3 linked regions of the Schizosaccharomyces pombe genome follow. The gene in region 1 interacts genetically with each later gene. Each region holds a gene or a part of one and is shown on either strand. Other genes may lie near its edges.

What was found.
Region 2: mutations in trs120 (region 1) and sec8 are lethal when combined (synthetic lethality), as found in Schizosaccharomyces pombe (one study listed by BioGRID).
Region 3: mutations in trs120 (region 1) and exo70 impair growth when combined (synthetic growth defect), as found in Schizosaccharomyces pombe (one study listed by BioGRID).

The regions. Positions count from the first base shown.
Region 1 is NC_003424.3:3,219,757-3,230,198, reverse strand, and holds trs120 (TRAPP complex subunit Trs120), read left to right. Parts: upstream 1-3,921; 5' UTR 3,922-3,955; coding exon 3,956-4,121; exon of another isoform or gene 4,122-4,162; coding exon 4,163-7,351; exon of another isoform or gene 7,352-7,416; coding exon 7,417-7,694; 3' UTR 7,695-7,831; downstream 7,832-10,442. Other genes in the region: cbc1 (nuclear cap-binding complex large subunit), read right to left, coding at 1-1,366, 1,416-1,666; tda3 (FAD-dependent amino acid oxidase), read right to left, coding at 2,007-2,743, 2,816-3,157, 3,219-3,270; proteasome core particle subunit alpha 6 Pre5, read left to right, coding at 8,058-8,076, 8,120-8,250, 8,301-8,404, 8,579-9,143; cardiolipin-specific phospholipase Cld1, read left to right, coding at 9,961-10,442. UniProt on the Schizosaccharomyces pombe protein: Component of the TRAPP II complex. TRAPP II seems to play a role in intra-Golgi transport.
Region 2 is NC_003421.2:488,212-500,404, reverse strand, and holds sec8 (exocyst complex subunit Exo4), read left to right. Parts: upstream 1-4,471; 5' UTR 4,472-4,478; coding exon 4,479-4,638; exon of another isoform or gene 4,639-4,682; coding exon 4,683-4,732; exon of another isoform or gene 4,733-4,792; coding exon 4,793-6,402; exon of another isoform or gene 6,403-6,419; intron 6,420-6,450; coding exon 6,451-6,625; intron 6,626-6,666; coding exon 6,667-6,805; intron 6,806-6,855; coding exon 6,856-7,297; exon of another isoform or gene 7,298-7,342; coding exon 7,343-7,573; exon of another isoform or gene 7,574-7,620; coding exon 7,621-8,035; 3' UTR 8,036-8,230; coding exon of another isoform or gene 8,231-10,183; 3' UTR 10,184-10,247; coding exon of another isoform or gene 10,248-10,337; 3' UTR 10,338-10,389; downstream 10,390-12,193. Other genes in the region: kcs1 (inositol polyphosphate kinase), read left to right, coding at 639-3,542; histone H2B-K119 ubiquitin ligase complex (HULC) subunit, ubiquitin-protein ligase E3 Brl2, read right to left, coding at 8,231-10,183, 10,248-10,337; wtf antidote-like meiotic drive suppressor Wtf9, read right to left, coding at 11,886-11,968, 12,019-12,081, 12,122-12,193.
Region 3 is NC_003423.3:413,144-422,439, forward strand, and holds exo70 (exocyst complex subunit Exo70), read left to right. Parts: upstream 1-4,099; 5' UTR 4,100-4,175; coding exon 4,176-4,177; intron 4,178-4,227; coding exon 4,228-4,256; intron 4,257-4,316; coding exon 4,317-4,475; intron 4,476-4,521; coding exon 4,522-6,076; intron 6,077-6,129; coding exon 6,130-6,166; intron 6,167-6,267; coding exon 6,268-6,333; 3' UTR 6,334-6,724; downstream 6,725-9,296. Other genes in the region: rpl2501 (60S ribosomal protein uL23), read left to right, coding at 413-510, 751-1,078; protein Ppr10, read left to right, coding at 1,968-3,515; G2/M B-type cyclin Cdc13, read left to right, coding at 7,980-9,296. UniProt on the Schizosaccharomyces pombe protein: Required for exocytosis.

The sequences.
Region 1 (10,442 bases):
CGGTTTATGTAATCTCAATGCTTCGATAATTTGACTTGACTGTTGATATAGCGGATGAGTCTCATTTTCGTACACGAAATTGGGACCCGACGGTTGTTCGCCAAGCAAACAACGTAACTCTTCAGGGAGTGAGTCAGAAATTCTTGTGTAATAGCTTAAAATAAGTTCCCTAGTAATAGTTTCCCGCATAAAAACTTTTTTTGGATGAAGATCGTCCAGCTCAACGTCAGGAATCCACTCATTCCACTTCCAGTGAAAGTTGAAATTACTAAGGTGATGTGAAAACCAGTCAATAAATCGATCAAGTGTTTGTAAAGGTAAATCAGAAGACATGGTATACATTAGCCGAATGACCCTTCCAAAAGTTGGAGCCAAAATTTTAGGAGCGATACGGCAGCATTCAATCAAAAGCGAATGATAATAGACAGGTTTATACGTAGTATTCTGTGAACCAAGAAGCTCACCCAAAACAGCTTCAACTATGATATCTTCTGCTTTCCAACGTGATTCCGATGGATCTAAATTTGGTAATTCATTTACTGGAGTACCACGAAGAGCAAAAGTTTTGTAGGTAAAATAAACATCTAAATCTGTAAGAACTTGAGCAGCCTCAACTCGGTTAAATTCCAAATGGTTTATAACATCCACACTTATATCACGAAATATGCTGGCTGCAACGTCGGAAGCGTCAGGAGTCGTGCGAATTTCAAAGTTATTAAAAAGCTCAAAAAATCTCTTGAAGGAAGGTAGCTCATTTTGCTGAGGAGTGGGCTGAAACGTCCATTCAGGAATACTTGGGCTAACCGGAACAATATGAACGAAATCAGATTCAAAAAACTTCCAGGGTTGAGATATATAAGGAAAAGTAAAGTCGTTTTCCCGAGATAGAATTAGTTGTTTATAGAGTAAGTCCAATTCCTCCTCTGAAAGATTGTCATGTATTGAAAGGGGATTACTTAGAGTTATCGAAGATTTCCTATGACGAACGTAAATCTCACATTGATCCAGTATCTCATTAGCAAAATCCTTTTTACCGAGATCGTTGTTAGCTGCGATGAAATATGGAAGGTTTATCAAAATTATGCGCAGGAAATTATCTCCCCAGACACTGGGTTTGGTTTCTTTTGAGATAGCGTCAGCCAGTAATGAAAATAGTGGCTTAAGGGTACCTGGTTGAAGTGCAAATGACATGCAAATGAGCATTCGTAGATCGACTTTAGCCTCGTAATAAAGAAAGGAGTTTAAATTCGTAAAATACTGTAAACAAAAATACGCAGCTGCTTTTTCTAAGATTAAAGGAACCCTTAATGAGGCTCTTATAATTAATGTAGCCAAATGAGGTATTTTGACTGGAATGATAAATGCACTAAGGATTAAATTAGTTTTCTGAAGGGACAGTATAAATTATCACTTACGTTGTCTGAATGCAATCTAAGATAGTTGAAATGGTTTCAGGATCATTAGCTTCACGACTAAGAGACATAGCAACATAATTAATGTCATCAGCAGCTACTGAATTTCCTCGAGGATCCGCCAAAAAGGTAATATCCTTTTTTATACGCGCTGCAAGTAGCTCTTGAGAGTTTCCTCTATGGGGACGAAATCCATAATTCTCTCCCTCTCTCGTCCTCTTTCTGGGTCGAGTTGATCCCCGATAAGAAGACATTTTGTGAGGAATGTTAGTGTCTTACTGTTGTTGGCGTATAGCAGAATTGTAAAAACACGAGCAAGTGTTCTCAAGTAACAATCAACTTAGAGGTAACGAATGGTATACTAAGTCGAGATGGAAATTGTAAAACAAAAAAAAAGAAAATCGATTTTCCAATGCGATAAAAACGAAAACCTTAATAAATATGATTAGAAAATTTTACAACACTGTAATATTCTATTTCGGTAAAGGAATAAGCATCCATTCTGCTTCTATATTTTCACCTTTCAGTGAATGAGTCCTTCGTTTTTTTTGACAAACAATTAAAACAAAAATTAGAGGATATAATTTGAAATCCTCATTCACCGAGATTTAAGTGAAAAGGATCTGTGTTTATGCTTGTTTTTTCCTTGCCAAGGAGCATTTCTGCCATACATAAACCCGTGGCAGGAGCTTGAGTTATCCCCCAGTTGGCGTGACCCGCTGCAACAAATACACCAGACTTGGTTGTTGATATTATCGGGATACCTGTTATTCTACTGGTAGGAAGGAACTTAAAAGATGCGTCTAAGTAGTTACTCTTCGTATTCTCCGAGAGCACCAAATCGGTCATTTCTTTCAATTCGATAATTTCAAAAGGATTAAAAAAACATCGATTACTATCTTTTGGCAGCAAATGGAATTTTGGAGTTCCCATAAAAATAAGCTGCTCCCGGTTTTTACTGAAAATTTCGGTTGTTTTGCAAATGTTTAGATTACCCATGGTATTTAAACAACACACAACAATGCTGTCGCCAACGGGAAAATTTCCTACCGATAGGTGAATTATGGGAATGCATAGACCTGCAATACCAGTAAATGGTAATAGATAACCAGTCCAAGGCCCAGCACTCACCAGCGTTTTATGCACCTGTGCTTTTATTATTGTATCTTCAGCTTCTTGTTTTGGAACGTATGTAATATGGTGTTTACTAACCTCTTTCACACTTCCAAATATAAACTTTACTCCTCGTTTTTCTATTTCTTTTGCCATAAATTGACAAAACAATTTTGGATTGATCATTGCAAAATCGTTGCCGGAACCGATACTAGAACCTAAATGGTTAGTCTCTATATGACTTATACAATAAAGTTATTATTTTTTTTTGGTAGCACTTATGAGCTTACATTTTTGCATGCGCTCTCGTTGAAGCCATTGCAAAGTATCGGGAACTTTGGCAACATTGGTATTGTCCCATTTCATCTTACAAAACCAAGAATTGGCAGTCCTATATTCCCAGTTTTTCTTCCCATCAAATTTTTTATCCAATCCTTCATAAAGCTTCAAAGCGAGAGTTGAAAGTGGCTGTATGATTTCATTCTGGCACAGTTTTGTCAAGATTGCAGAATCAATGCCGGAGCTACCTCCTGCTATTTCTTTTGATTCAAATATAAATATGTCCAATTCTCCTTTTTTGTATTCTTGTTCTTCTGTTAAGTAAAACGCCGTACAAATTCCAATAATGCCACCTAAAAATCATCGTCAGCATGCTCACTCATCATTTATGAAACTGTTGTTCTCCAAAATTACCTCCTACTATTCCTATCTTTGTCTTATTTCCTTCTCTACTTGTAGCGCTCATATTTGAAGTTGGAAAGTTGACTTGAAACACAATCATCTTGCTGTAACGCTTCTAAACATTACGTTATCCTCACCAGTATTTCCTTCAATCTCTCTTATTTTTTTACCATTTTGAGAATAAAATAAATAGCAATAATAATAATAACAAAACGGTTCAATATTCAACAGTTTTTGCCATTCAGAATGCCTTTCATAAATTGCTATGGCGAGATATACGATTCTTTCATGAATACCAAACGATTGTAAAAAAGGAAAAAAATTACAAAATACTCCTCCTAATCTATAAAGTCAAGTTCGCATAAACAAACGGATTTTTAAATTTTTGAAATGCCAGATTCACATTCTTCAGATAGTTTACATATTATTTACACATGCCTTAATTAAAATTACTGCAACCAGTTCATTGAGTTGTAATTATATTTTGATTCCAAATAATCTACTGAAAACAGCTGTACAGCTGTATATGCAGAATGGTATTTCCAAAGCATAACAAATATTAGACATTTCACAACAATGATAATTGTTAAGCGATATCATCTTGAAAAGTTTATTTTACCGACTTATGATCGACAATCAACAGAAATATGCAAAATAAATTAGTGATGGTATGGATGTAATCCGTTAAATGGTATTCAAGCACTTTGTTCTCAGTACGTGCTCCAAAACATTACATTGCTGGAGATGCTATGGAATTTGATTTTTTTTCGTTTGTTGCTCCTTCCAGAGTTCAATCATTAGTCCTTCCTTTTGGTCGTGTTAGAAGAAAAAGTTTCTCGTCCTACCTACAATTACTCCGCAGAGTAAGTCATATTCAGTTGAGTGATGTCCCTGTAGCTACTGCTACTAGAAAATGTATGTTTCTTATTTTTATGATTATTGACTAATCTTAATAGCGAGTTCTTTCAATCCTTTGGCTTTTCCGTTGGGCAGATTGGTGTACAATTTCCTAACCAGCCTTGATGATCAACAAGCTCTACTAGAAGAATTTGAATATTTTCGGCGCGTTTTCGTTCTTATTGGTATTGTAGATGGGTCAGAGGAACAAGAAGTTGAGCAATTATGTTCTACCTTGGATGTTTGGCGGAGAAGGATACCTCATGCGTTAGTTGCAAAATGCATCGTATTTAATTGTCCAGAAGACAAAGAGAATATATTTAATGCTCCCAATATCATAATAGGACCAAGGTCTGATTTTTCAATAAACTCCGTAATGCGGTCTATTTTATGCGATATCACTGCTGAGTTGTTAGAAGGATTTAGTTCGCTCGAGTTTTCTATACACGCGCGTTCCGTGATCCTTTCTCCAATTACTGACATGCCACATTTGGCTCCCTTGCAAAGGAAAAATTCTAATGCGTCGATTCACTCCTTAGGCTCATCTTCTCGTCCTACTTTGACGAGAACTCCCTCGATCACATCAAGATCTGTGAATAGTGTAACGGAACGATCCAAAAGTCTCTCAAAGGGGCGTATTGAGAACCAATTTGGCCAGCTATACTTGCTGGCCGGCAGAGTTCCCAATGCGTTGAAGCATTTCTCAACAGCCATAGCGCTTTCTAAAGCAACTGGAGACTTTCTTTGGCAAGGACTTTCGTTGGAGTTATTTACTGTTTGTCTGGTTATAATGGCTCATTTGCATGTGGACGTCCAGATTCCTCCTAATATATTATCCATGTTCCCTTCTTATAATGATAGATTGAATGCCTTTGGACCACTCAAATTTGATGCACTATTAAACTTTATCACAGAAATGCGCAACGTAGTTGATCAATTATATCAAAAATCCACTCTTCAACCTAATGATGCTGTCCCCGGCCTCTGTTTTTCCGAGAGTATCCTACGGTATGCTCATTTACTCACAGTTGTTTATAGTTGTAAAGGATTTAACGACAACGCTTTGGATCATATTATTGCTCAAGCCCCCATAAGACCTGTTAAAAAAGCTACAACGTATGTACCAAATAAAGCAACTATTTGTCAATGGATTATGAGAGCCCAAGGACAGCATCTTAACTCTCTTTCAATTCGTGAACGTTGTCGCATATACGGGGCTATGGCAAATATGCTTGGAAGTATAGGATTTTCTCGGTTAAGGGTCAAGATGTTGCGTGAGTTGGTTGCGAGTTTAACACCTGTACTATTAGAAACGCGTAGGCAAAATGCTTCAAAAAATGGAATACATCCGGAGGTTATTGCTTCGCATACCGCACAATCCTTTAAAAGCACTCATTACTGTAACATCTTACCTTTGATATCTGAAATATGTCAAGAATATGGCCTATTGAAAACTGATGGTAGTCTTCTAAATCCAGAATTAACAAAATGGGGTTGGTCAAATTTACAATTTGATGTTCTTAATGAGCTTATATCCCTTTGTGATTCTCTATCTGACTATCGCAGTATTCTTCTTTTAATTTCTTTGTTTTTTCTCACTTCTGTTCAAACTGCTTCTTCTTCCCAACAAATCTCTATGTTTAAAGCTTTTAGAAAAACGTACCTATTTGCTAGCAATGCTGGTATACACATTAACGCTCCATACTGGGACCCATTTATGATAACGGATTTAAAGTTCATTGGTTCGTCCGAGAATGCCGAATTAATTCATCAACGGTTAAGAAACGGGTTACCAAAATCAATTGAAAAAGGACCATTCATCTATAATCCATTTAATAGAAGACAGGACCAAAACCAATCGAAATCAGTCCTCGTTGTCGATGAACAAGTTGCGTTTTCGATCTATTTTCGTAACCCTCTTAGTGTATCAGTTGAAGTGCAAGATGTTCATTTAGAAACGAAAGGGGTTTCTGCAAAATGTTCACATTCTACTTTTACGATGCGGCCACTATCTATAGAGCGTACTACACTTACTGTAACTCCTACGGAAACCGGAGAATTACATATTGTTGGTTGTCGTGTAAAAGTCTTTGGCTGTGAGCCAATTCTGCAGTATGTTTACGAAGCAAAGGATAAACACAAGTCATTGCACGTTTACCTTGAGAAAAGTAAAGACGTCAATGCTGAACTTCGTTCCTTGGATACCATCGACCATTTATGGACTTACTTTCCGTTTAAAAAGGACTTGAAAACTAAGTCATTTGATTGTATAGTTATAGCTAGCCAGCCGAAATTATCGCTTGCTTTTCAAAACCTAACATCTGGAAAGTTTAACTTTGCTGAATACGAAACGGGTGAATTGGTGTATGTAATTGAAAATACGTCTTTTGTTGAGGCATCTCACATATCTGTTCTTTTTGAGGACAGTTCATCCAAAGCTTTTGAGCAAGCTATAGCGGATAAAAGTATCACAGCAGATCGATTATATGAACTCCAATTTGAAGAATTTAACCTCCCAACATTTACTGTCGAGAGTAGCCAACCGTTTTCACTTTCACCAGGTGAGCGCAGGGAAATTCATATTAAAATCCGGGCAAAGCCAAATTCTCAAGAAGGATTGATATTATTTGAAAGTAGTGTGCATAAGCCTGAAGACACAGAATTTTATGTTAGACGTCTAAGAATCCCGGTTTCTTTAAACATAAGTAAAAGAGTGGATTTGAAACAATGGTCTGCGTTTATGGATACTGAAGGAGATCCCAGCTACTGCTTGGTGCTATTAAACTTTTATAATCATTTCTCTGAGCCTTTATTTGTCACGGTTAAAACAGCAAGTACCGATGAGTCCCGATCAGTTTTAATCAAACCAAAAGCTGATAATGTCATATTATTCCGTTTAAAAAGATTTATTATGTCCTCTGAGGAAATCAATCTTGATATTCCAAACTTATCTACAAAGCAATTCGTACTATCTAGCGGATTTAAAAAAAGTATCGAGGATAGCTATACTATGAAAAAGCGTTTTTGGATTAAGGAGTATTTTCTAAAAGAAGTTCAAGCTTCTTGGAAAACCGACGATAATCTTCACCATGGAGAGATTTACTTGAGAAATCATATTTTGTCTGACGAAATGGCAAATAATCTATCTATTCTACCAATTAGGATTCAGGCTTGGGTTAGCTATGATTCTGAAAAAGTCACCACGGTTTGTCCGCGAGAACCATTCAAACTTGTTCTTGAATTTTTCGGTATGCAATTATTGATACTTCATATTCCTTCCTATGTCTTTTAATTTTACTAATTTCTATAACAGGTCATGCCGATACCAATATGCGTTATAAAATATCGTGGACTCAATTAAATACTCAAGCTAACACTTCTTCCTTCAACGGACTAATTTTAGATGGCCCAGAAGAGGACATTGTATGCTTTAACAATTCCAAATGTCATGTCGTGATCGAGCGCAACATGTTTGCATATACAACAGGGATGTACAATATATTTGTTCGTATTTTTAACGAAGAACTACAATTGCTATCGCAGCCTGTTGACTTGGATGAGCCCATACTACTAATTGTTGATGCGAAGTAACTCATGTCATTAATGTTCGTCTATATTACTCTTTTTCTTCCATGTCTTGAAATCTAATAGTTTTGATCCGAAAATAAATAAATTTTACATATTTTACTCTTAACCATGCTATTCAGTAAGCGCTTGGAAGAGTGTCCACGTTCAGAGGTATCAGGTCGTATTTATAGTTTCATGCGTACAAACGTGAAAATTATATAAAATTGCAACTTAATAATTTAGCATCAAAAGAATCCAAGGTATGCTTGCTTTGTAATTATTATAAGTGGAATACGTTCTGCCCCCACTTAGTACCTTTTATTTCTAATATTTAGCGCAGGGCTACGAGATTATTAGAAACATTAGCTGAACGTGACCAGAACCAATATGTTTAGAAATCAATATGGTAAGTAAAATAGAAGAAATTGGTCTGCTAACTTTATAATTAGATGGAGATGCGACTACGTGGAGCCCTCAAGGAAGACTCCATCAAGTAGAATACGCATTAGAAGCTATTAAACAAGGATCAGCTACGGTTGGACTCGTTTCCAAAACACATGCTGTTCTAGTCGCTTTAAAGGTATCCACAATTTTATTTTACTAGGGCCTCCATTAACTTTCAAAATGTAGAGAAACGCAGAGGAACTTAGCAGCTACCAAAAGAAGTTGATTCGCATTGATGACCATATTGGTATTGCTATAGCTGGTTTGGCTCCTGACGCCAGAGTTTTGAGGTAAGGCATTTAATGGATGTAAGACAGTCATGCAAAAACCGTAATCTCTATGTGTGTTTGCTTTGGTTTTTGAAATTGCTATCGGTGGGAATACTTTTTTTGAGAGTATTACTAGGCATAATGATTTTGTATATTACAATTTACGTTTGTTATAATGGAATATTAACGCAACAGTAACTATATGAAGCAAGAAGCTTTATCGTCTAAGACTTTGTTTACTCGACCTATTCCTGTCCGTCGTCTAATGAGCAAGGTTGCTGAAAAGGCTCAAATTAATACTCAGGAGTACGGAAGGAGACCTTATGGTGTTGGGTTTTTAGTAATTGGGTACGATGAAAGTGGTCCACATTTACTCGAGTTTCAACCTTCTGGCCTTGTTCTAGAATATTTGGGTACTAGTATGGGTTCACGATCCCAGTCTGCTCGTACTTACATAGAGCGAAATTTGGATACATTTCCGGATTCTAGCAGAGAAGAACTTATCCTCTCAGCACTTAGAGCTTTACGTGATACTCTTTCAAAAGACCAAGAACTGACCGAAGAAAACGTTTCTATATCCGTCATTGGAAAAGATGAAAAATATACTCTTTACGATCAAAATGACACAAAAGAATGGCTTGATAAATTAGGCGACAAAGGTCCCGCGGCTGCTCGTGCTTCTAGGGCTGCCGCCGAAGAACCTCAAGCGCCTACTGCGGAGGCTATACTTGACTCTGCTGATGCCATGGAAACTGATTAATTGCCATGATTCAAATGATACCTTTCTTAAGTACATATGTCATAGAATTCCGAAAAGATGATTATCCTTTATAGGGATTTTTCTTAGCTATCCTTTTTATTCCTTCGACAATTACGATTTCTGGCATGTCATTTCCAAGCTATTAAGTTGCTGGATAGAAATCTAGGAAATTTAATGAAAAATAAATGTTAACTTTGTGCATAGGAATGTATTATTTTATGTAATTTGCTAAGTAATTAGATGAATGGTGCTATACTTGATACGTTACTTATTATATTTATATGAATTAAAAATAATAATTATTAGATGTTCATAACAATGACCAATGTCAATAGTGTTGTCAATAACAATGCCGGAAACAAATTTTAATATTCTGCTGCACTGAAGTATTTATTGCATAAAGGGACTTTATCATATTTGAACAATTGCTGTATTAAGTATTGAACTAAAACCTCAATTGTCTTTCTATGAAATTTTCATGAAAACTTGCTTCATCATTTGTTCGCCTTTTTTTAATTCAGCCAAAATGTTACGAAGATTAACGAAAAAAAGTCAGAGAATGTGCTGCTTTTCCGCTGCTTGTTACAATGCCATTGCTTTGTCAGATCAAAACCTTCGTATCTTGCTTACATAAACTTACCCACAGCACAACACTTTGAATTCCAATTGCCGAGCCAATATCCGGAATTTTATTTAAATATCGGAATTATTTTGTTTTAAATAGTTCATAAACAGTAATTTGTTTGTATTGTCATTATCGCGGGGTTGACTCCTTCATTGACCATTTTGTGTTGAATTCAGCGTTTGCACCGTTACTATGAGCCAAGTGAAAGTCGCGGTGAGAAGTGAGGAAGCAGCTAATTCTTATACGCAAACGTTTGGCATGTCCTGGAGGCAATGGCGTCAAGCATGCTCTGAAGAATATGCGAAACAATGTGAGCGTGAAGTCCTGCACACTGTCGATTTTATTCGGGAAAATGAAAAGGACCCAGAAAGGTTAGTTGAAGTTGTAGATTCCAAAATCTACGATAATGATGGATTGGTACATGAGGTTTGTGTTAGTGATAAAGCAACAGGAAAAGCGAACAAGCGAAGCATTGTTTACATGCATGGGTATGGAGCTGGTCTTGGTTTTTACTTTCGGAACATGGATGGTTTGACTAAGGGTGTGACAAAGGATTTTAATTCTTATTTTGTTGATTGGCTAGGCATGGGAAACTCGTCAAGACCGCCTTTCGATATCAAGGGGCAAACCGCTTCAGAGAAGGTCGAAGAAACAGAGAGGTTTTTCACTGAGTC
Region 2 (12,193 bases), on another chromosome or scaffold:
TATCATTAAGTGTTTTAATGATTGCATAGCTGACACAATGCGTAATTTAATGACAGATACGGTGTATTATTATGTGGATCTTTAGAGTAGAATAATTGTAAGCTACGCAGTTTGGTATCTGATTTAAGGATACGTAGAACTGCGGTGAGTTTTCCTTGTGATCTATTATATTACAATACGCAGGTTGTATAAGTAGCAACTGAGTATAGGTATTGTATTAACTGGGTTATAATGTTACCTATCACTAATATAGCTCATAACTGAACCTCGTTCCTCAGTTCAGTTGTAACGCTATTTATAATATTTCTAAATAGTTGTTATCAACGGGTATCTACGTATATAGACGGATAGTTACCCGTGATTATCAATAAACGGATCTTAGCTAGTATTCCAACATATGACATATAGTGATACGCAACGTAGTGTATCATAGCGTAGTGTAGTATTGCTGACAATAATGAATTTAAGTAGTTTCACTATACGCCTCATTATACTGTAAGCTAGAGCAAAGTAAGAAACTTGCCAAGAACCAAAGCGGGTCTCTGCGAAAGGTAAACTAATAAAAATCGGACAAATTGGAGGAATTGAAGGGGAATTAAGGAAAAATATTAATTTAATAGAGATAAACTTATGAATTTATGCAGAACGCACCAAAGTGTTACCTGCCGAATTCACGTAAAGGCAGAGACGTGAATTTTCATGATCGAGGTCCTGAAACGTTAAAATGCTTGTACGATGAATCAGAAGATAACAATAATTTTACTATGCATTCTGAATCCATAGGTCCTAAGTCATTAGACAGTTTATCGCCTAGAAGGCTAAGTAACTATTCATCTGCTGTAGACCCTCGAACTACGAGCTTGGAAGATGTCCCTCGCTTAATTTTAACAAGAAGTAATTCACAAGAACAAACCCCTTTGAGAACACACACCCCTGTTGAATATATGAGTGATTCAATTCACAAGAGTCTAGCTGACTTGCAATTAGGTGGTTCCTCTTATTCAGTTGCTGAATCACCAGTACCGGTGCTGCAGTCTTCAGCCGTTTCTGAAGCTGATGATATGGCAAGTGCTCATTCTGCTCATCCGTCTCGAAAGGCAAGCAGGTCATTACGTCTCTTTGAGTCTTCTACCTCCAATAACTTAGAAACCGGTAACAGTACTAATACTGCTTTGCACAACGTGTCGAGTCCTCTTGAATCTGTTTCTGAAAGGCTCTCCAAATCTGGATCACCAAGTGTTGGTGCTCAGCATGATTTAGATGAAGTTATTTCCGAAAAAGATACATCACTAAGTCGAAGATCATCTCGTGGTCGGAGCTCAGCTCCTAAACGAAGAAAAGATAGTGGTAGTTCTAAAACCACAGCCACCTACATACCACATAATCCTTCTAAAAAGTCATCTCAACACCTCCCTTTACTACCTGATGCTTCGTTTGAGCTTGAAAGGTCGGTATCCCGTTCTTATCAAAGTCCTGCATCCACCCCGCGATCATCTGTATCATCTGTCTCATCATCTCCTCCTGAAGACCATCCTTTTTTCCATTGGAATGTTGATTATCCGGTTACTGTACGATTGGAACCCTTCAAACATCAAGTCGGTGGACATACGGCTTTCTTCCGGTTTTCTAAAAGAGCCGTTTGCAAACCACTTACAAGAAATGAAAATACGTTTTATGAAACTATTGAAGCTTGCCATCCAGAATTGCTTCCCTTTATCCCAAAGTATATTGGTGTTTTAAATGTGACTCATACTATTACTAAAACAGAAGAAAACGATTCTACTACGGAATATGTCAATACAGAATCATCGTCTAAAACACCTGCCCCCCATAAACACACATTTAACAGCTGTTATCAGAAAAAAGACTATGGATACATTCCAGAGGTTAGTGTTGAGCAAAACCGTCATATTTTTCCTGAATGGATGCTTCCCGACAAAAGATCTCATTCTTATGGAAGCCCCAAATCTTTACACCATAAATCATCTTCAGCCGGAGAACGGCCAGTATCTCCTACTTTCGTGGCTGATATACCGCCCAAAACTCCATGGGGAACCACATTAATTAACAGAAAACTGCGAGAGGAAGTTCTACGAGAAGTTTTTGCTCCCAAGCATGCAAGACGTCGACTTGGAACTCGTTTCCATTCAAGGAGTTCCCATCGACCTTCTGTTTTTCGTGATAATTCGGTTGCTTTTGGACAATTGGATAATGGAAACACATCTAGCCGAGCTCGTGATAAGGATGCAGATCCTAACAAAAGCTTATCCTGTAGCGTTGAAGATAAACATTACGACTTGCATTCCGCCGTTGCCGAAGAAAATGAAGAAGTCGACGAGGAACTCCTCAACGTACCGTCCAATAATCAAGGTAAGTCATATAGACGCTTTTCATCAGATGCTGTTTGGGAAGAACCAGAATCTAACGAGTTTCCTCGGGTTTCTGGTACAATGGAGGATTATGATTCAAGGGAGTCAACAGGACATACAATAAAGGAACTACGAAGTACACCGAACTCGCATGGAACTGTACCCGATGACTCTATTTTTGCTATGGACAATGAAGAAAACAGCGAGTTACCTCCACCTCTAGAACCAGCAGAAATTGGAGATCCATTCAGGAGCGTAAATGATCCTAGGCGAGTACTCTCTCTTCCACACATGGCATCCGCCGATGAAGATCACCGGATTCCAGCAAGCGATAATCAAAACAATAATAATAATGATGCTAATGCCCTCGCGGAAAATTCGGAATCTCAACATTCTACCCAGATTGAGAGATATATTGTGATTGAAGACTTAACGAGTGGAATGAAAAGACCTTGTGTGTTGGATGTCAAGATGGGTACTAGACAATACGGAATAATGGCTACGGAGAAAAAGAAAGCCTCACAAACTAAAAAGTGTGCGATGACTACATCTCGAGTTCTTGGTGTCCGAATATGTGGAATGCAAGTTTGGCATCCTTGGCTTCAATCATATACATTTGAAGATAAGTATGTAGGTCGTGATATTAAAGCAGGAGAGGAATTTCAACACGCATTGATGCGTTACTTAGGGAAAACGGATGACGATGAAGACAATAGCCATCTCTTGGTGCATCATATTCCCACGATAATTAGAAAGCTAGAGCAGTTAGAGCAAATTGTTAGGTTTCTTAAAGGATCCCGCTTGTATGCTAGTTCATTACTATTTTTATATGATGGGGAGCCGCCGCCAAGCGACAAATCCAGCAAAGAAAAAGTCAAGCCTCGTGAAATTGACATTCGGATTGTTGATTTTGCCAATTGTGTTTTTGCTGAGGATAAAGAGCTTTTAGCAAAAGCTACATGTCCTCCTCAACACAAAGACACGTATGATCGAGGATACGTACGAGGTTTACGGACTTTGAGGCTATACTTTCTAAAAATATGGAAGGAAGCTAAGGGAATGCAAATTGCGGAACGGGGCTATGAAGACAGTCTCTCTAATGCTTACGATGAACTTGGGGGATTGATGAGTTATTCAAATGATGATGACTCTTGCGGAGAGACGTCTACCTAATAATTCAAATGGTAGCTTTAAAATGTTGCTTGATGCATTTAGTTTCAAAGCACTCTAGAACTTACATTCATCGCTTTGTTGAATATTTCTTGGCAAAAGTGTTTATCGATAGTTTGCGCACTGAGTTGTTCATTGAGCTCGGAAGCTTGAGACCCGCTATTTATTTATATTACTTCAAATTGGCAATCCGTTATATAAAGAAGTCGTTAGTCTTTCATCTTTCTGTTTCGTTAAATTTCTTAATTCAGTGATTGTAACGAAGCTATGACAGTTGGAATCTTCTTGGATTATAAATTTTTTTTCCGCCCCCATTTGTTGTGTTGTTTGTGTTACAAGGATTACTGGTTTTAATACTTGTATCCTTCTAATGCCCTTAATCTCTCTTTTACTTTCTTATCTTTTAAGATTGTCATGTGTTGATTTTTGTAATGGAGAAAATGCATATTGAGATTGCGCATTTTTAACCGTTCTTTCTTTTTTAGTTTTTTTGTTACATCTGCACCCCTTTATTCTGACTTTTATTTTGGTCTTTGGCATTGCTCATATTATTATTCTCTTAATCATCTCATCATACCTTATTTTTTTATTATGGCATAGTTATTTATCAAAGTACTTTTCTGCGAAGTATCTTAATTTGCCTTTTCTTGGATGCTTGATTTTTCTGTTTATATTAGTATTATTTCGTGGTAGTAGTAGCTTAGTTACACCCTTATCATTCTTTTCTTATACAATAGTCCATCACCCCCATTAACTCTGAAACACATACAGAGTTCTTTTGCATGCTCCTTGTCAGTATAAAGTATTAAATCAAGGTGCGCTGTAATAAATAGCAGTGCGTTGGTCCACGTAATTCATATAGTGATTTCTTAGCTCTCCTTTCAAAGATAATACAGTCAATAGACATATCAAGCTAAAACTACTGACTATTTGACTTCCATGGATACCAGAGGCTATTCGGAAACGAAAAAAGGAAGGTATCCAGTGGGAAAGAAAAGCTTGGAATCTCCTAACGGCTACTCAAATTATGGAACTAGCATGGACAATGAATTGAGTTCAGAGTATGCATCGCGTGGAATGCACATAGGCGATTTAGAAAGTAAGGTGAAGCAGCAGGGAGTTTTGATTTAACCTTTATGCTAGATTTAGTAAATGAAATTGAGGATGAATGGAAAGACCTGGGAAGAGAAGACGTATGTTGCGTGAATAAGTGAAGATTGGAGGATGTTTGAATTTACTAACGAATGGTTAAGTATCAACCGATATCTACAGCGTTGGAACTATTAGATGACAGTAGCTTTGGAAGAGATTATAAGTCTTTTCTGAACGTTTACGATCGAATTAGTGCTGCATTACAAACGATTGCCCATACTCATAAAGATGACTTTACTCGAGGTATATCGGCTTATGGAGAAATAATGGAGGGAATTCAGAAGTGCAATTCGAGAATCATAGCATTAAAGCAATCCCTTGAGGCTTCGCAAGAATGCATTGGTAATACTAATAGCAAAGAGCTTCAACAAACATTGGCTCGTAGTTCTCAATACAAAAAAGTCATAAGTGTGCTCAAGGAACTTAATGAAGCCAACCAGCTGTTTGACAACTTTCATACGCTTGTTGATAGCAAGCAATATTATCATGCCAGCGATTTAATACGTCGTGTATGGGATGAATTAAGTCGTTCTGATTTTGACGGAATATTAGTAGTGGAGCAGTTTAAAAGTCGGATGACAGGACTCTTGTCACATTTAGAGGACATTCTATCTGAAGAGTTGGTTTCAATTACTTTCCTTAAAGATGCTGTCGCTTATCCCATAGTATCGTACTGCTCTCCAAATCCGCTGAGGGAAACTTCCAACCCATATTTTTTGAGAGATTTTTTAAAAAACAATGCAAATACATCAACTCTGGGCCAAAGTGAGCAATTGCGTTACCTAGAAGAAGCGCTTTCTTTAAAGTTGTCGGATTGCTTAAAAATGGATTATGGTAGAGACAGTTTACGTGATATACGTATTGTTTTGGAGTCATTGAATTTATTGGGAAAACTCCCCAATGCTATTTCATCTTTAAAGTCTCGTACTTCTGCGGAGATGTTTACTACGGTAGATTCTACTTCACGTGCAATCGTTAACAAATATTCACTCGGTAATAACGTTTCTACCGTTAATCCCTTTTCAAAATCACTTTATGATATAGGTTTGCACGCTGAGACTGATAGAGAGCATACTATGATTTCCGAGTTCTTGACGAACTTATTTACAAAATTAAGGTGTGTTTTAATGCATTATCGCGGTATCTCCGAATTCATGACCAAATTAGAGACTAAAACACCAAAGCATGCTTCATCTTCTCACAAATCTAGCATTATGTCTGTTAACTCGGACCCCACAAGCCCAAAGGTATCAAAATTTGATACTTCTGATAGCACGTTTCCATTTGATACGTTGCTGCAAGCATTCGAGAGCGAAATTAGGTTAATGTTAAAAGATTATCTTATTTCCAAAGAAGAGTATATTGAAAATAGTGGAAATTTCGTTGTTGGAACTGAGATGTCCATATACAACCTCCCTGGCGAAAATGAAGAAGATAAACTTTTCGACGTAACAAACGAAATTGCTGTGGAGAACAAAAGTAATGCGTTTTATGCCAGAATAAATGAGTTGGTTAACGAAAAGGCTCCAGAGCTTATTCTTAATAAATCAAATGCTTCAGTTTCCACTATTGAACTATTTTCTGGAAGTTCGAAAGAAATTGTACGTTTGGCTGGCCACGTTGTATTTGTTGGGCCTTCGGTTTTTCATGCTTCGTCTGTCCTACCTCAAACCGTATTCTTTTTGGAAGACAGTGTGTCTATTTTGAAAAAGTACGTCAATTAAGTTGAGTTTGGATTATTTTGCTAACAAAAATTTAGCCCAAATATACCTCCTCAGTTTGCTGTTAATTTTATGAAAGAATTTTTAAGGGGAAGTTACATTCCACAATTATACAAGTTTATGTCGAGTCACTTTGACACCATAATGAAAGACGTGGGTGCGTTCCAATTGCACAGAGATTGGAAGATATACTCTAAAATCCCAATTTTTAAGGTATAGTCTCATTAAGAAGCTACGATTAACGTTAATTTTAGTGCCATGTGGCTATTGTTCAATATTTTCACGATCTTCAAGATTATTTGCCTATTGTTGCATTAAATTTGGTAGAATTTTATGAATTATTACATACTTTGCTTGTTCGTTTTCGCAACCATTGTTCTGATTATCTCTCTGGTATGTTTCATTTCCATTTTTTCACTGTTTCCCCAGCTTACCCTTTATAGATTTGTGCAGAACGGCTGTTCTCAAAGAATACAAACATGTCAACGAGGATACTGAAGATGTCGATGATACTGTTCGAGTAAAGCTACTTCACGACGATGTAACGTACCCTCAATTTATTAAATTCCTCAAGCAAAAAAATCCATCACTTGAAGGGTTAAATGAGCTTTGTCGAATGGAGAATAAGCGTTTATTACAATATGAAGATCGTGCGATTACGTCCGAAGTTAAACTTCCGGTATCGGTTTTATCCAAAGATTCCGACCTAGTGAACTCGGTTTCTTATCTTCATAACTCCATGGAATGGTTTCTTCAGCGCTGTTTTTCAAGATTTATGAACGGTTCGCGAAGAATGAACGTTTTGCAACAAAACCAAGCTAATTTCGGTGGTGACTTTTTACCAATTGATAATTTGTTGGGTAATAATTCGGATTTAATGAAGGGGTATGTTACTGTATGTATTGAACTTTATACTGATTTTTATAAAAGTGCATATAAAGAAGTCTTTGATTCTTTACAGAGGCTCCAATTCGATGCTTTACTGCTAATCCGAATGGAAGTTCGGTTACAGTACATTCATAGTATTAATCAAAGTGTAAACCTTCCTGACTATGTTGTCGAGTACCGCGGAAGACCAGATGCTTCGATAATGGCTCTCAACTCTACTATTGTGACGACGAATTTGAAACTCGAAACCTGTTTGAATGAATGGGAACGAAGGTAAATAACAAATGAATTCCTTATATTGATTTGCTAACTTTTTATAGGTTTGTATTCCAAGGTCTGAGTGAACTGGTTGATTCATCGCTATACTCTATCTTTTACAAAATAGAATCAATGAATAGAGGCAGCTGTCTTCAGATGCTGAAAAATATGTCAGCAATGATTCAGATTCTTAAGACGGTTAAGGAAATTCATGGCGACGTTGAATTTCCTAAATCTTCTAGAGTCTTTGGAATATACCAAAATGGTGCCAAGAAAATTATCGAGCACTTCATTGCTGCCCCCAAAAAGGAACTTTTGCCTGACGTTAAACAGATGGTCCGAATTTATTACCAGCGATTAATGAAAGATGCAAAAAGAAACGGAAGGGACGATCTTTATCGGCAGTATCAGAAAAAGATTGGCTCGGTTTTAACTCAGTTCGACAACACTGTGGGTGGTGCGAGAAAAAATCCTTAACCGTATAATATAGAATTTTAATTATAATGACGAGTAATGATTTTATAATAATAAATTTATTAACTAAAAACATAGATGCATTGGATAGTTTAAAAACTACGTGACCTAGTTTCAAAGATTATATTAAGGAAAATGATTTGTTATATATACAGCGTTTTCCTGAAAGACATAATTTACACAAATAAAACATATTCTTCAAAGATGTATCGGAATAACATCAGAAGCACCAAATCCACGACCGCAAATCGGGCATCTGCGTTGCCGTGTTTCAATCCGTTTTTGTATGCATTGGTAACAAAAGCCATGACCACAGAGAGAAATAATTCGATCTTTCCAGCGCTCGAAGTTACAAACTGAACACTTACACATGGCCCTAAAAGTTTTTAACTCTTCAGCTGACGTTGATACCCCAGTATCCTTTAACTTTCGCTTCTCTTTTTCATGCTCTTCATCTTGCTTGGAAAGTATATCTATAGAAGATGATAAATCTGAGCATTGAAATTCAAGGTCTGTTAATGTAGCATTATTTTTATCCATAAATTGCTGTAAATAAGACACCTTTTCTTCCAGGTTTTGAATAGTTGATTTTTGAGATGACTTTTTGACTTGAAACGTTGTTGATTGTTTTATAGAGTTATTTCGAACCGATGATAGACGGGCTAGCTGATCTTCAAACTCTATTATTCTATGGACAGCAGTGTCTTGGCTATTTAACATTTTTGAGATAATTTCGTTGGTCTTCTGGTACTTCTGGCGCAGTAACTTTACTTCAGCATGAAGACTATCTGTAGACTTCATGGTCAGAAAATATTTTTGCTCCGCCTTTTCCTTTTCGACACTAAATTTGGTTATCAATTCTTGATAATGGGAGTGGCTACTTTTCACAGTTTGCTGTTTTACCAACCTAAATGCTTTTTCAGTAGAAGCCAACTCTTTAGAAAGGTAAGTTGACAGATCTTTTTGTAACTCCAAATCGTTAAGGTCTACGAGCCGGATTTTGTTTGCAGCTTCACGGGTAGCCACCGCTTTTTTCTTTTCCAATACCATTGTCTCTAAATTCGCAAGTTCATCTAACTTGTCTTTGTAGACCTTCTCTTTTTGCTTTTTAGCTTCCAACTTCTTTTCAAGGGATAAGCTTAATTCAGTCTTTGCGTTATTAATTCTTTTTTCATCGTTTTGCATAACAGATATTTGATGATCAAGATCGTTTATTAACGGCTGATAGGAAGATTCAAAAACACCGTTAAAATTCTTTGACTGTTGCGACAATACATTTATTTCGTGAGAACATTCGGACAATAAGTGCTCTAATACGCGTAACTGCTCAGATGTCATAGAAACAGCTTCTTTAAGTGCTAAAAAGGAAGAGTATTTTTTCAAGTTTGTAGTTTCGACGTTGTTTAATGCGTTTTCTCGTTCCATAATTAATTTATCCATTTCATTAACGTTCGAATCCAAAATTTTAAGGCTTTGTGAGCGAGACTCCATTAAACCATTTTGTTGGTCTTGAAGCCTGGATAATTGTTGCAGTTGAGTACGTTGTTCAACCGTGCTAACTTTCTTTTCTTCATCTTTCCCCTTAGAGGAGGTGGTTGCTTCCTCTTTCACTTTAGTAGACTGGGGTCTCACTGATTCATTAATGCATTGCAAAGTAAAACTAGACGAGCGATCTGGTAGTTTTATAATTGAATGAAGCTGAGACCGAGTGGTATCCAATTCATCTAAAATCTTGTCAATATCCAAATTAATGGTGTTTAATTTCTCAGTAAGGGCAGAGTCATCAATTGATAAAACTGAAAAAGGATCTCTGGAGACCGAATTTGTGCTTGAGTCAACAGTAGACAAGAGTTTTTGAATGATGCTCAAGGCTTTAGTTTTATTATTTTTCACAGCGTCATTGAAGTATGAAAGCTCCGGGAATTTCTCCAAAATCGAAAAAACACCTTCACTCTCGAAGTCCTTCAGCTCATTGCCTTGAAACACAACGCTAAACTGCTGAAGTATTTCAGGCCACCAAGAGACCAAAGTAGCTAAAACTTTTAATTTCTCTTCTGCTAAATTTTGAAGTCCCTCTATTTTACTTTCTAACTCATCAAATTGAATGCTCCTCACTCTTACATCCTTTAATAAGTCTTCTTTAGAGACTTCCTTTAACAGAGTTAGCGACATGTCTTAACATTCGAATGCCTAAAGGCTCAACACGTTAACATACCTGAATATCATCATCTTGTATTTCTACATCTTCAAGTTCTCTTTTCTGGCCTAAGATTGTGGGGGCATCTGGTTTACCATTCTGATACATTCTCGAAAGTCGTATACATCAACCTATCAATATAAATTTCCTTTTTTTCAGAACAATTTGTTTTTTAACGAAAAAAGAAAACAGCCAAAACCTAAAAGACAGACTGTATTTTTCTTATACTAAACGTAATAACGCGTAATGAATAAGCAAGTTATAGATACGCGTCTTTACAGATCTATTTCAAATTCTCCTTCTTAGTTGAAACTTGCCGTATTGAAAATATGCAATTCGAAGCGAATTAAGTTAATTGCCATTCAATACAATAAAATGGGTAAAAGTGAAGTGGTAGAGGGCAGACACGAGTTTACGATCTATTTACTCAGTCACTAAACTACTTTAGTGAAAAATTGTCGTATTTGAAGAAATTCGAGTTAACTATCCATCTGGTATCCACTTTAACGAAATGTAAAATTGCGGTGAGTTTTCCTTGTGATCTATTATATTGCAACACACAGGTTGTATAAGTAGCAACTGAGTATAGGTATTGTATTAACTGGGTTATAATGTTACCTATCACTAGTATAGCTCATAACTGAACTGAGGAACGAGGTTCAGTTGTAACGCTATTTATAAATGGCTGTTATCAACGGGTATTTATGTACATAGACGAATAGTTACCTGTGATTATCAACAAGCGGATCTTAACTAGTATTTCAACATATGACATATAGTGATACACTACGTTGCGTATCACTATATGTCACATGTTCTAATTATATATCGTACCATGTATGATACGATATGGAGATTAATCTTAATGATAATCTATTCAGATCTATATTATCTGAATACTATAAATAGAGCTACCACTGAACTGAGGAACGAGGTTCAGTTATGAGCTATACTAGTGATAGGTAACATTATAACCCAGTTAATACAATACCTATACTCAGTTGCTACTTATACAACCTGTGTATTGTAATATAATAGATCACAAGGAAAACTCACCGCAGTTCTACGTATCCTTAAATCAGATACCAAACTGCGTAGCTTACACGTAATTACGATAACAAACCATCGTTCTAAACCACAATATTCTATTATGCTGCTCATTATTTTGTAAACATTAAATTTTGTTTGAATTGAACCATTAAACAGAAGGGAAAAATGATTATTAAGCTTGATTAAATTAAGAATCAAGATGAAGGAGAAATGAATGTAACAACGACAATGAAATTGTGAATTTAACAAGGTGGAACAACGAGTTTTCCGATTTCATTAGTTGATTTAAAGTTGTCGTAAACAAGTTAAACCATTATTGTTTGTAGCGTAGAGTACCATTAAAAAAGACAAATAATTAGACTCGCATACATTATAAATAAAGACTTCGGTCCTCAATGCACATTATCCAACATCGTAGAATGCATTGGTTGAAAATCTTTGGTAATTGAAAGAATAAGTTAAGCATATATTCCATAAACTTATAGTGAAAGAGGATGATTAAAGAAAGTTGGTGCTAATTTTTTAAAAAACGCCGCAGCTTCTCTGCATTGGTGATTTTGGTAAAGAGGTTTTCCAACTGTAGCGACAACTACATTAATAAAGCAATTAGACTTCGCTTTCGGCCTCCGTTTCTTCCAAGGGAATGTCATTATTATCGTTGGCACCTCCAATCGCATTTGCTATACCTCCTAGTCGGGTAAGTAAAAAATCATTCATACAGTTGGTTGAATACACATACCTAGGAAAGAAGCTATACCATTCCTGATAAATTTGGGCATCCTTTTGAGAGCACCTGGACATTCTGATACGGTTAGAGTAAATTACAGGAATATTAAACAAACCCATTTCGTAAAAGAAAAGAAAATTTCCTATAACAAAGAGTGAAGAGGCTTCAATTTCGTAGCCTGTCCCGT
Region 3 (9,296 bases), on another chromosome or scaffold:
AAACGCAAATGTTTGAGTTAAGATGATAAAAGACGCGAGTGAAAAAAAATAATATATATCATTTTCCGTTTTTATAAAGGTTCCTTTTCTGTTTTAAGTAAAAATTATGGAGAATTGACAGCGTATTGTTGTGCGTTGCTAATAGAAAGTGGAGAAAGCATAAGTTGGCACGCGTCGATATAAACATGCGTGGATTAACGAGAAACGCTATACGTTCAGCAAAGTACGTTGTACAACGGTAAATTGTATAAGCTATTGTCAAAACGCGTTTTATAAACTACTATTAGAGGACACGCCTGACTGCACTTTTTATAGTAGGGTAGGGCTGGACTGCTTTTTTGAATTCCAGGACATGAAACTTTTCCGAATGATCTGTCACGAGCAACAACCAACTCTTAATTGACAGGACATCATGAGCGTTGCTAAAGCCAAAGGAGCACAGAAGACCGTTCAAAAGGGTATCCATAACAAGGTTGCTAAGAAGGTTCGCACTTCTACCACCTTCCGTCGGTATGTTTTATGAATTTTCACGGAAAAAACGTCTCAGGTTCATTACAGTGTCCAAACATGGTGTCGTCAAAAGTTCAGTGTATGGCATGATTTGCTAAGTAAATTACTTTTTACATTTGTAACAGAATATTACTTAAATTATTGCTGGATTTCCCGATACACTTTTTTATGGAGCTTAAGAACTTCGGTCTTTCCAAATATTTTTTAGATAAGAATATTTGCTAACTTATATCTTTATAGCCCCAAAACTCTTCAGCTTTCTCGCAAGCCCAAGTATGCTCGCAAGAGTGTTGCTCATGCTCCTCGTCTCGATGAGTACAAAATCATCGTCAATCCCATTAATAGCGAGTCCGCTATGAAGAAGATTGAAGATGACAACACTCTTGTCTTCCATGTCCATCTTAAAGCCAACAAGTTCACCATTAAGGAGGCTGTTCGTAAGCTTTACAGCGTTGAACCCGTCAAGATCAACACTTTGATTCGTCCTAACGGTACCAAGAAGGCTTTCGTTAAGTTGTCTGCTGATGCTGATGCTCTTGATGTTGCTAACCGCATTGGTTTCCTTTAAACAATGTACCTATAGTCAAGCATTTAGGGACGAAATAAAATCTTGGTTTTTATATTACTATACATTCATGCTGTACTTTAGTTAAAATCATACTTTATTTTGTAGCTTTTTGGTTGCAGTTGATTACAGTGAGAGTAGCGTGAATGAAGGCTATTGTTGGTGGCACCTTTCATTTGATTGAAATTATAACGTTAAATGGTTGTTGGGTGGATGTAACAAAAAGAAAGTCACTTCATTATGCTAATAATAAAAATAAAATGCAAAGGAGTTTTCATCTACTGATTTCATTGAGACTTATGTAATTTCCTCGTTTGTGTTTTCATTGAGTAAATCATAACATAATGATCAAGTAGAAGATGCATAAACGAGTTTACTTAGTTATCTAACGTATTCTCAAACAAAAAATCTTTTCTCTTAAGAAAGATAATGGACCCTTTGAAGTGTTGTTACTAAAGCATGTACTTTCAAGTGAACCATATTCACATTTTGCAACGTCAGCAAAAGCTGTAATTAGAACAGTTACAAGTTTAACTCTTCATTCTTCAACCATTTTAACATATGCAAGTATTGAATAAAGCGAAAAAACTAGTGTTTATGTTTCCAAACAAAGTAACATGCTACTTTATGAACCATCGGCTTGTAGGCAGCTTCTTTAAAAGAATCCCTGGTACTCAATCTGAGCATATTCCTAGAAGAAGGAAAAAAGACACTGCTCTTAGACCGTTTATCATTTGGACGAGAATTAATTAATGAAGAGGGTTCCTAAGAGGTTCTCAGTTGTTTTTTGATTGATTTTCTGGTTATCAAGCTGTTGTCGTGCAGTTTTTTCGCGCTTGCGGGTTCAAAAGTCGCATTTATTATTAATTGAAAACATTTTTTGAGCAAAGAGATGTTTCTTAGACCATGGAGCCGAAATTTCCTTTGTAGTTGTAGAGGATTTTCTGTTTGCACTCCTTACGCGAGTATTAAAAGCGCATCTGAACTGGCGCTGAAGAACATAAGTGAACTACAAGCGCTTCAGAAAATACAAAATCATACGGAAAAATTAAAATTTTTTTCGTCCAAATTGCACAATAAAGGAGAACCTTTTACTTTACAACTTGGTGATTTAATTACGGAACATACAAGTGTCCCAGAGCTCAATGAAATTTTGGATAAATTCAGTCAATCTAATGAGTTATTCACTATGCGATTTCTTGAAAAAGCTAGTATCATTGCTCATAAAAACCGTTCTGCTGAATTGGCCCGAAGGTTGCGTACATATGCAGCTAATGCCATGATTGATTTAAGTCGTGTTGCTTTTGTTAACATCTTTTGGACCCTTTTGAAAACTAGAGACAAGGAAGGTATTGTTGAAACTATAGAAGGTCAGCCAATAGCATTTAAAGTCGCCCGTCGAATCTTTCGCAGGTTGCTGGTCTATACATCGGAAGCGGGTGAAAACATTGAAATTTGCTTCTTCCTCACAAACTCTTTATTTAAACGACTTCTTAATAACCGTGAAGCCCTTTCCAAAGATGAAAAGAGTGAACTCCAAAACCTCTATTATGATTTATTGTTATGTTTTTCTTACTCATATTATGTTCCAGGAGTTAAGCTTCTATTGCCTATGTTATATAACGGAAGCTTTAAAGAAATTAATCGCACAGCCATAGACAGGTCTTTGTTGGCTTTATTGTCAACCGGTGAATTGGAAGCTGCTCTTGAACTTCTAGTATACCTCAAGAATAATAATATCCCGATTAATGACGCCTATCTTCGGATGATGGTGATCAACTTTTGTTTGGCTAATAAGCCGACATTAGCGGTACGCTTTTGCCAAGCTTGGTTTAAACAAAGTAAAATGCTTTCTTCCACAGAAAATTTACTGCTTATTGCTGAGTCTCTTTCACGTGCTTCGAACGATTTTGCCGCCATTAGCAAGCAGATGCAACCATTTTCAATTGAATCATCTTCATTTTATCTACCTAGCCACAGACTATTAATGCTTGTCGCTTTGATGATGAAAAATTCTTCAGGGATATTACATTCGTATGCGGTACTCAAAAAAGCTAATGCTATAACAAACAAAGAACTAAGAATAATGATGCAACATGCAATGGACCTCCGATCAACTGAATTCGCTGAAGCAGTTTTGAAGGAGTCCGAGTTTACTTTGCAATCCAATCGCTCACAATTATTAATGGACTTTGTTGCTATTTTATTTTTAAATAAGGAATACACCAAAGCTTTCGCCACGCTTGAAAAAACCTTCGCATCTAAGATTAAACCAAGTCATAATATTATATCTTTCTCGTTATCTCTAGTCAAACGCTTTGGTACTAAAAATGACCTTTTTTTTCTGCGTCGCTCTTTTAAGAACATGGGCATAGAAACTCTGGATGAGATAGAAAAAAATCTGCCCCCTAAAGTCGTTTATAGATGCTTTAACTATTAAGTGACTTACTCTTCTCATCACATCAACGCTGAATCCATGCATGCTATAATTATCACCCTTTGTTTATGATACCTTAATATTAAAAACTTGAAAATTTAACTTTAATTCAGCTTTCACACTACCGTCTGCTTTATTTCTATTACCGTTTAATTTTCGAGGTCTCTCTTTTCCAATGCGCTGTGCGCAATTACTGATCTAAGTTAGACACAGACGAATTTATTTCTTTTTGAGCTGTTGTTACGTTTAATACTCTCTTTTAATATCCCCTCTTATGTTGGCCATCATATTGTAGCTGTTCAGCTATTTAATGAGAAGTTGAACTGAAACAAAAAATTATGATAATTTTTCTAAATCAAATTCAATATTTTTTATTTATACATGCAAATCTATTCTCGTATTGCTTGTTTCACATCGCTAATAGCCCACTACGATGTGTAAGAAAAGGAAACCAATAATTACACTGAACCTTTTTTAAAAAATATGATCAATTTTCCATTCAAACATATGTAGTTTTCAAAAACGTTCATTACATGAGTCAGAAAAATATCTGGTTGACCCTAACATTCTTTCGGATTGTACACCTTACAACTGCACATGCATTTCACCACACATAATATACGATTTTCATAAATCGCATCCTTCGTAAAAATTATATGCAAAATGTATCTTACATTAAACTTAAAGAATTAAAAAATTGAGCTAACTGGTATAGGAGTGGTGGTATTTTTGATGATAATAAAGGTATTTACCATGTTTATAAATTCAAAAGTTAAAGCTCGATCACTAATTAAATCGTTACAGCTGGGTTTGAAACGTTTCAAAAGAATCTCAATTCGGTCGCAAAGAATGTATCTGATGCCTCTAACATCCTATTGTCCATGGACAAACGATTGAGCGGCCTCGAGGCGTCTGCTGGAATCTTAAGAGATGATGTGACGAACTACAATCGCGTTTCTAGCAGTATGTATTGTTGTAATTTTATTTGTTAATTACTAATTTGTTTAAGACATCTACGACACGTTAAAGGAAATGGAGAGCCTTCAAGTTATCCATTCACACCTTCCTGTGCTGCAAAAGGGGTTGCAAGAATGCCAAAATTTAAATAAATCAGTATCTCAAAATTTAAAATCTGTCATGGACATTCTAAAATCTTTAGCGGAAGATTATACGAGTTTAGAAGGAAGTCCACTTCAATTTGCCTCAAAATCGCAGCAAAAAGTTGAGATGATGCTATCAGAAGGATGCCAGATTTTAGGTGCATTGTGTTATAATATACTTGAAACTTATGCTGCATCCTCCCTTAACAAAGCATCTACACTTTTGGATTTATCCATCCCGTGGAGTTTTCCCAATGAATCTCTTCAGCAATTTATAGGTTTAATTCAGCAATTCGATGCTGATGTTCTGTTCCCAGTTTCTTGCTCTTCAGATATCTCTAATATATACATCAAGATAAAGGGCGAATGTGTTGTCAAGTTACTTCATGCCGTCTCTATGAGGACAGATGAAATTAAGCTCAACGAGGGATCAGTTAACTTCGTGACTGGAAAAGAAGATGTTTCGATCAATTTAGTTGCTTTATCTAGACTATTACCAGCCGTTGCCTCGGAATTGCTACTCTTGTTTGATCAAGTTACTGCTAAGGCACTTTATCCCAAAATCGTTAAGCCTGCCATAAACACTGTCACCAATGCCACCAGACAGCTTGAGGGAGTTTATGAAAAAAGAGGTGCTGCAGAAAATTTTGTTTTGTTGTCTTTAATTGATTGTATCGTTGTTACACGCCAAAACATGAATAATCTTATGCCTTTTGAAGATGCTTCTTTCCTTGGTTTTGTGAATGGTGTTGGTCGTGAAATGGAAAAGATATTGATTTCTTCTATATCGAGGCTGTATAATGGCACTTGCCATAACAACAAAACAGTCCCTCTCACAACTGATAGAGTCAGTGAAATGACTCATGGTATTATGAGTTTCTTGAATGAACTTGCTGAGCATGAAAATGCCTCTTATTTGCTTGAAAGTATTGGTAATTGGGGCTGGAGACACGAAATTAATGCTGATCTCAGTCCTGCGCGCTCAGTTCAAGACATTACGAGGAACTATGTTATGGATTGTATGGATTCCTACCTAACTTCTGTTCAAACAGCTGCCCAGGCAGTGGATACGATTGGATGGAAAATGGGCGTAATGCTTTTAAACATCAGCGTCTATTTTGAAGCAAAATGTCTTGAGTCAAAAATTGCATCATTTTTACAAGACGTTGATTTAGAAAAGCTAGGAGATCGATCACAAAAGTACTCAACCATGTATATGGAAGTTTGGCGACAGTGTTCTCAAAATATGCTCGATTCTACCTATACAAAATCTCAAAACAAATCCACTATGTCTGCTAAAGAACGAGAGATTACAAAGGAAAAATTCCGAAACTTCAACGAACAAGTTACATCTGTTGTTCAAGTGCATCGTGAATCTGTTAGGTTTGAAACTGGTGTTGCCACTTTTCTATTGCAAGAAGTTAAGAAAACTGTACTACCTTTATATCAAAGGTTCTATGATAAGTATGAAGATCAATTAAAAACTGTTAGTTCCACTATAGCTAACCTCTGTTTAGATACATCAACAGTGATTTTACAAAAAATAAAGACAAGGTATGTGTATTGAGGATTTGTCGATATTCATTTGCTAGTTTATCGATGTGTATATACATTTAAGTTGTTATCGTTTTTCATTTTGCTTACTCATTACGTAGTATATCAAATTTACAAAGGCTGATTTAGATTCTTTTATTACAAGCGCGTTTGCTCCTTCCCTATGATTCAATATGATGAATTTGGGTCCTTTGAAATTCCATAATATAGTACTAAAGTGGGTGTACTGGCATTCTCACTTTTCTTTGAAGCATTTGACTGATGTAAATAAAGACGGACCATATCTCAAATTCAAAAATTTGACTTCTATTTTACATTATTAAATCGTTCCATATAATTTTTTTAATTATTAACTCCCCTTTTTTGATGACTTTGTTGTTTACCCTGCTCAGATTCTGCTTACGAGTAAGCTACCCACTAAATATTGTAATTATTAAAGAAAACTTGAAGAACTAATTTTTAATTGCATTTCCCAAGCAATCATGTTTCGATTATATACGTTCTTTACTTTATATAATGTGCCCAGCATAATTTCATAGACAATAACATTATTACCTCTTTTTTACAATAGTGAGGTAGCTCATATACATTAAATTGTGGTTCCATATCTCCGTTTTCTTATTTTTACGAAACTCGTGTTTGTTTTTGTTTAATATTTATATTATTGTTTACATTGAAAATTACCATATTATTTGATGTTTGTATTTGTTTCCCAGCTTGCCAACGTTGCGTTACCCCGACAACCCCATAGTGTTTACGCCCTCTACGATACTCCTTTCAGTCGACTCCACTACCACGAGCTGTCCTTAACCAGCATCTTGACGAGTTTTTACCCTTAAACGACATTCCTGCTCATAGAAATATAAGCAAGAACAGGACTTTTCCCCTATTAGTCACTGTCTAGAGCTAGAGGCGAGAAAAGAAGCGGAACCTGGTCGGTTAAGCAAAGCTTGTTCTTTCGTCTTGTCTTCTTGCTTGTAACAAGAGCTTAATCAGATTGTAAGTAATGTTAAAGGCTGGGAATACAGTTTTGGTTGTGTAAGAACATTTTCATACAATACGACCTTCTGAAGATGTGAAAATTTCTTCCCAATCAATAGTCACCCTTTTTCCTCGACTTCACCTAGTTCAGCGAAAACATGAAATCCTCTTTAAGTCTAACTTCATTTCTTTTTATTTTTTTATTTTTTTAAAATTTATGAAGGGATTAAGGGGTGGGTGCTGTAAAACATGGGGGTTTAAATTTAAATAACTACCCATTTTATTTTCCTATCAAAGTTTCTTTTTTTCATAGGATAATCCTTTATTGTGCCATTTTGTTTTTTCATTAGATTTACTAACGTCATTTAAAGTCAACATTTACCCTTCTTTTCTTGTTCTGGTGTTAATATAGGAAAATCGTACATCGATTCTACATATAGCTTCATTTCAAAGTTCAGTTTCGTGTTCTACGTTTCCTATATCCATTGTTGGACTTCATCGCAATCCCCTTACTTTATTGAAAAAAAGAAGTCTCAAAAGCTCTTGCCAAATTCTAGATTCGGTCAAAGGCTATTATTTTCTCCTTTATACGTACGAGAAACATACATTTTTGCTTGGATTTTATCCTTAAAATTTTTGTATAAACTTTCAAGTATAACTCATTCTATTTTATCTTCTCCGTCCCGTACTACCCCTTCACGTTTTTAGACACTTTAAAAAGGTTGTTCGTTCAAAACCTCTTTTTTATCATTTCTGTTACCTGAACCAATTAATATTTTAATTTCCCTTCCTCTCTTTCAATCCCCGACAGAATTCGTTTCTTCTTTTCCTCATGACTACCCGTCGTTTAACTCGCCAGCACCTATTGGCAAATACCTTGGGCAACAATGACGAAAATCATCCTTCAAACCATATTGCCCGTGCAAAAAGCTCTTTGCACTCTTCAGAAAATTCTTTAGTAAATGGCAAGAAAGCCACTGTGTCTTCCACCAACGTTCCTAAGAAGCGTCATGCGTTGGATGATGTTTCCAATTTTCACAACAAAGAAGGTGTTCCATTAGCTAGTAAAAACACAAATGTCAGACACACTACTGCTTCTGTCAGTACCCGTCGTGCTCTCGAGGAAAAGTCTATAATCCCTGCAACAGATGATGAACCCGCTTCCAAGAAGCGTCGCCAACCTTCTGTTTTTAATTCATCAGTCCCCTCGTTACCTCAACACTTGTCAACGAAATCACACTCTGTTTCAACCCATGGGGTTGATGCTTTCCATAAGGATCAAGCAACTATTCCAAAAAAATTAAAGAAAGATGTTGATGAACGCGTTGTTTCGAAAGATATTCCCAAACTTCACCGTGATAGTGTTGAGAGTCCCGAATCTCAAGATTGGGATGACTTGGATGCAGAAGATTGGGCTGACCCTCTTATGGTTTCTGAATATGTCGTTGATATTTTTGAATATTTGAATGAGTTGGAAATTGAAACTATGCCCTCTCCTACTTATATGGATCGTCAAAAAGAGCTTGCATGGAAGATGCGTGGAATACTTACCGATTGGTTAATTGAAGTGCATTCTCGTTTCCGACTGCTTCCTGAAACATTGTTTTTGGCCGTAAATATTATTGATAGATTTTTATCATTGCGGGTATGCTCTCTTAACAAACTACAATTGGTTGGCATTGCTGCCTTGTTCATCGCTAGCAAGTATGAGGAGGTGATGTGCCCTTCAGTCCAAAACTTTGTATATATGGCGGATGGTGGGTATGATGAAGAGGAAATTCTTCAAGCCGAGCGCTACATTTTGCGTGTCCTAGAGTTTAATCTTGCTTACCCGAATCCTATGAATTTCCTACGTCGTATCTCAAAAGCCGACTTTTACGATATTCAAACAAGAACTGTTGCAAAGTATCTTGTTGAAATTGGTCTTTTAGATCATAAACTTTTACCTTATCCCCCTTCCCAACAGTGTGCTGCCGCTATGTACCTTGCCAGGGAAATGCTTGGACGTGGACCGTGGAATCGTAATCTTGTGCATTACTCAGGTTATGAGGAGTACCAATTAATTTCCGTTGTTAAGAAGATGATTAATTATTTACAAAAGCCTGTTCAACATGAAGCTTTTTTCAAGAAGTATGCCTCCAAAAAGTTT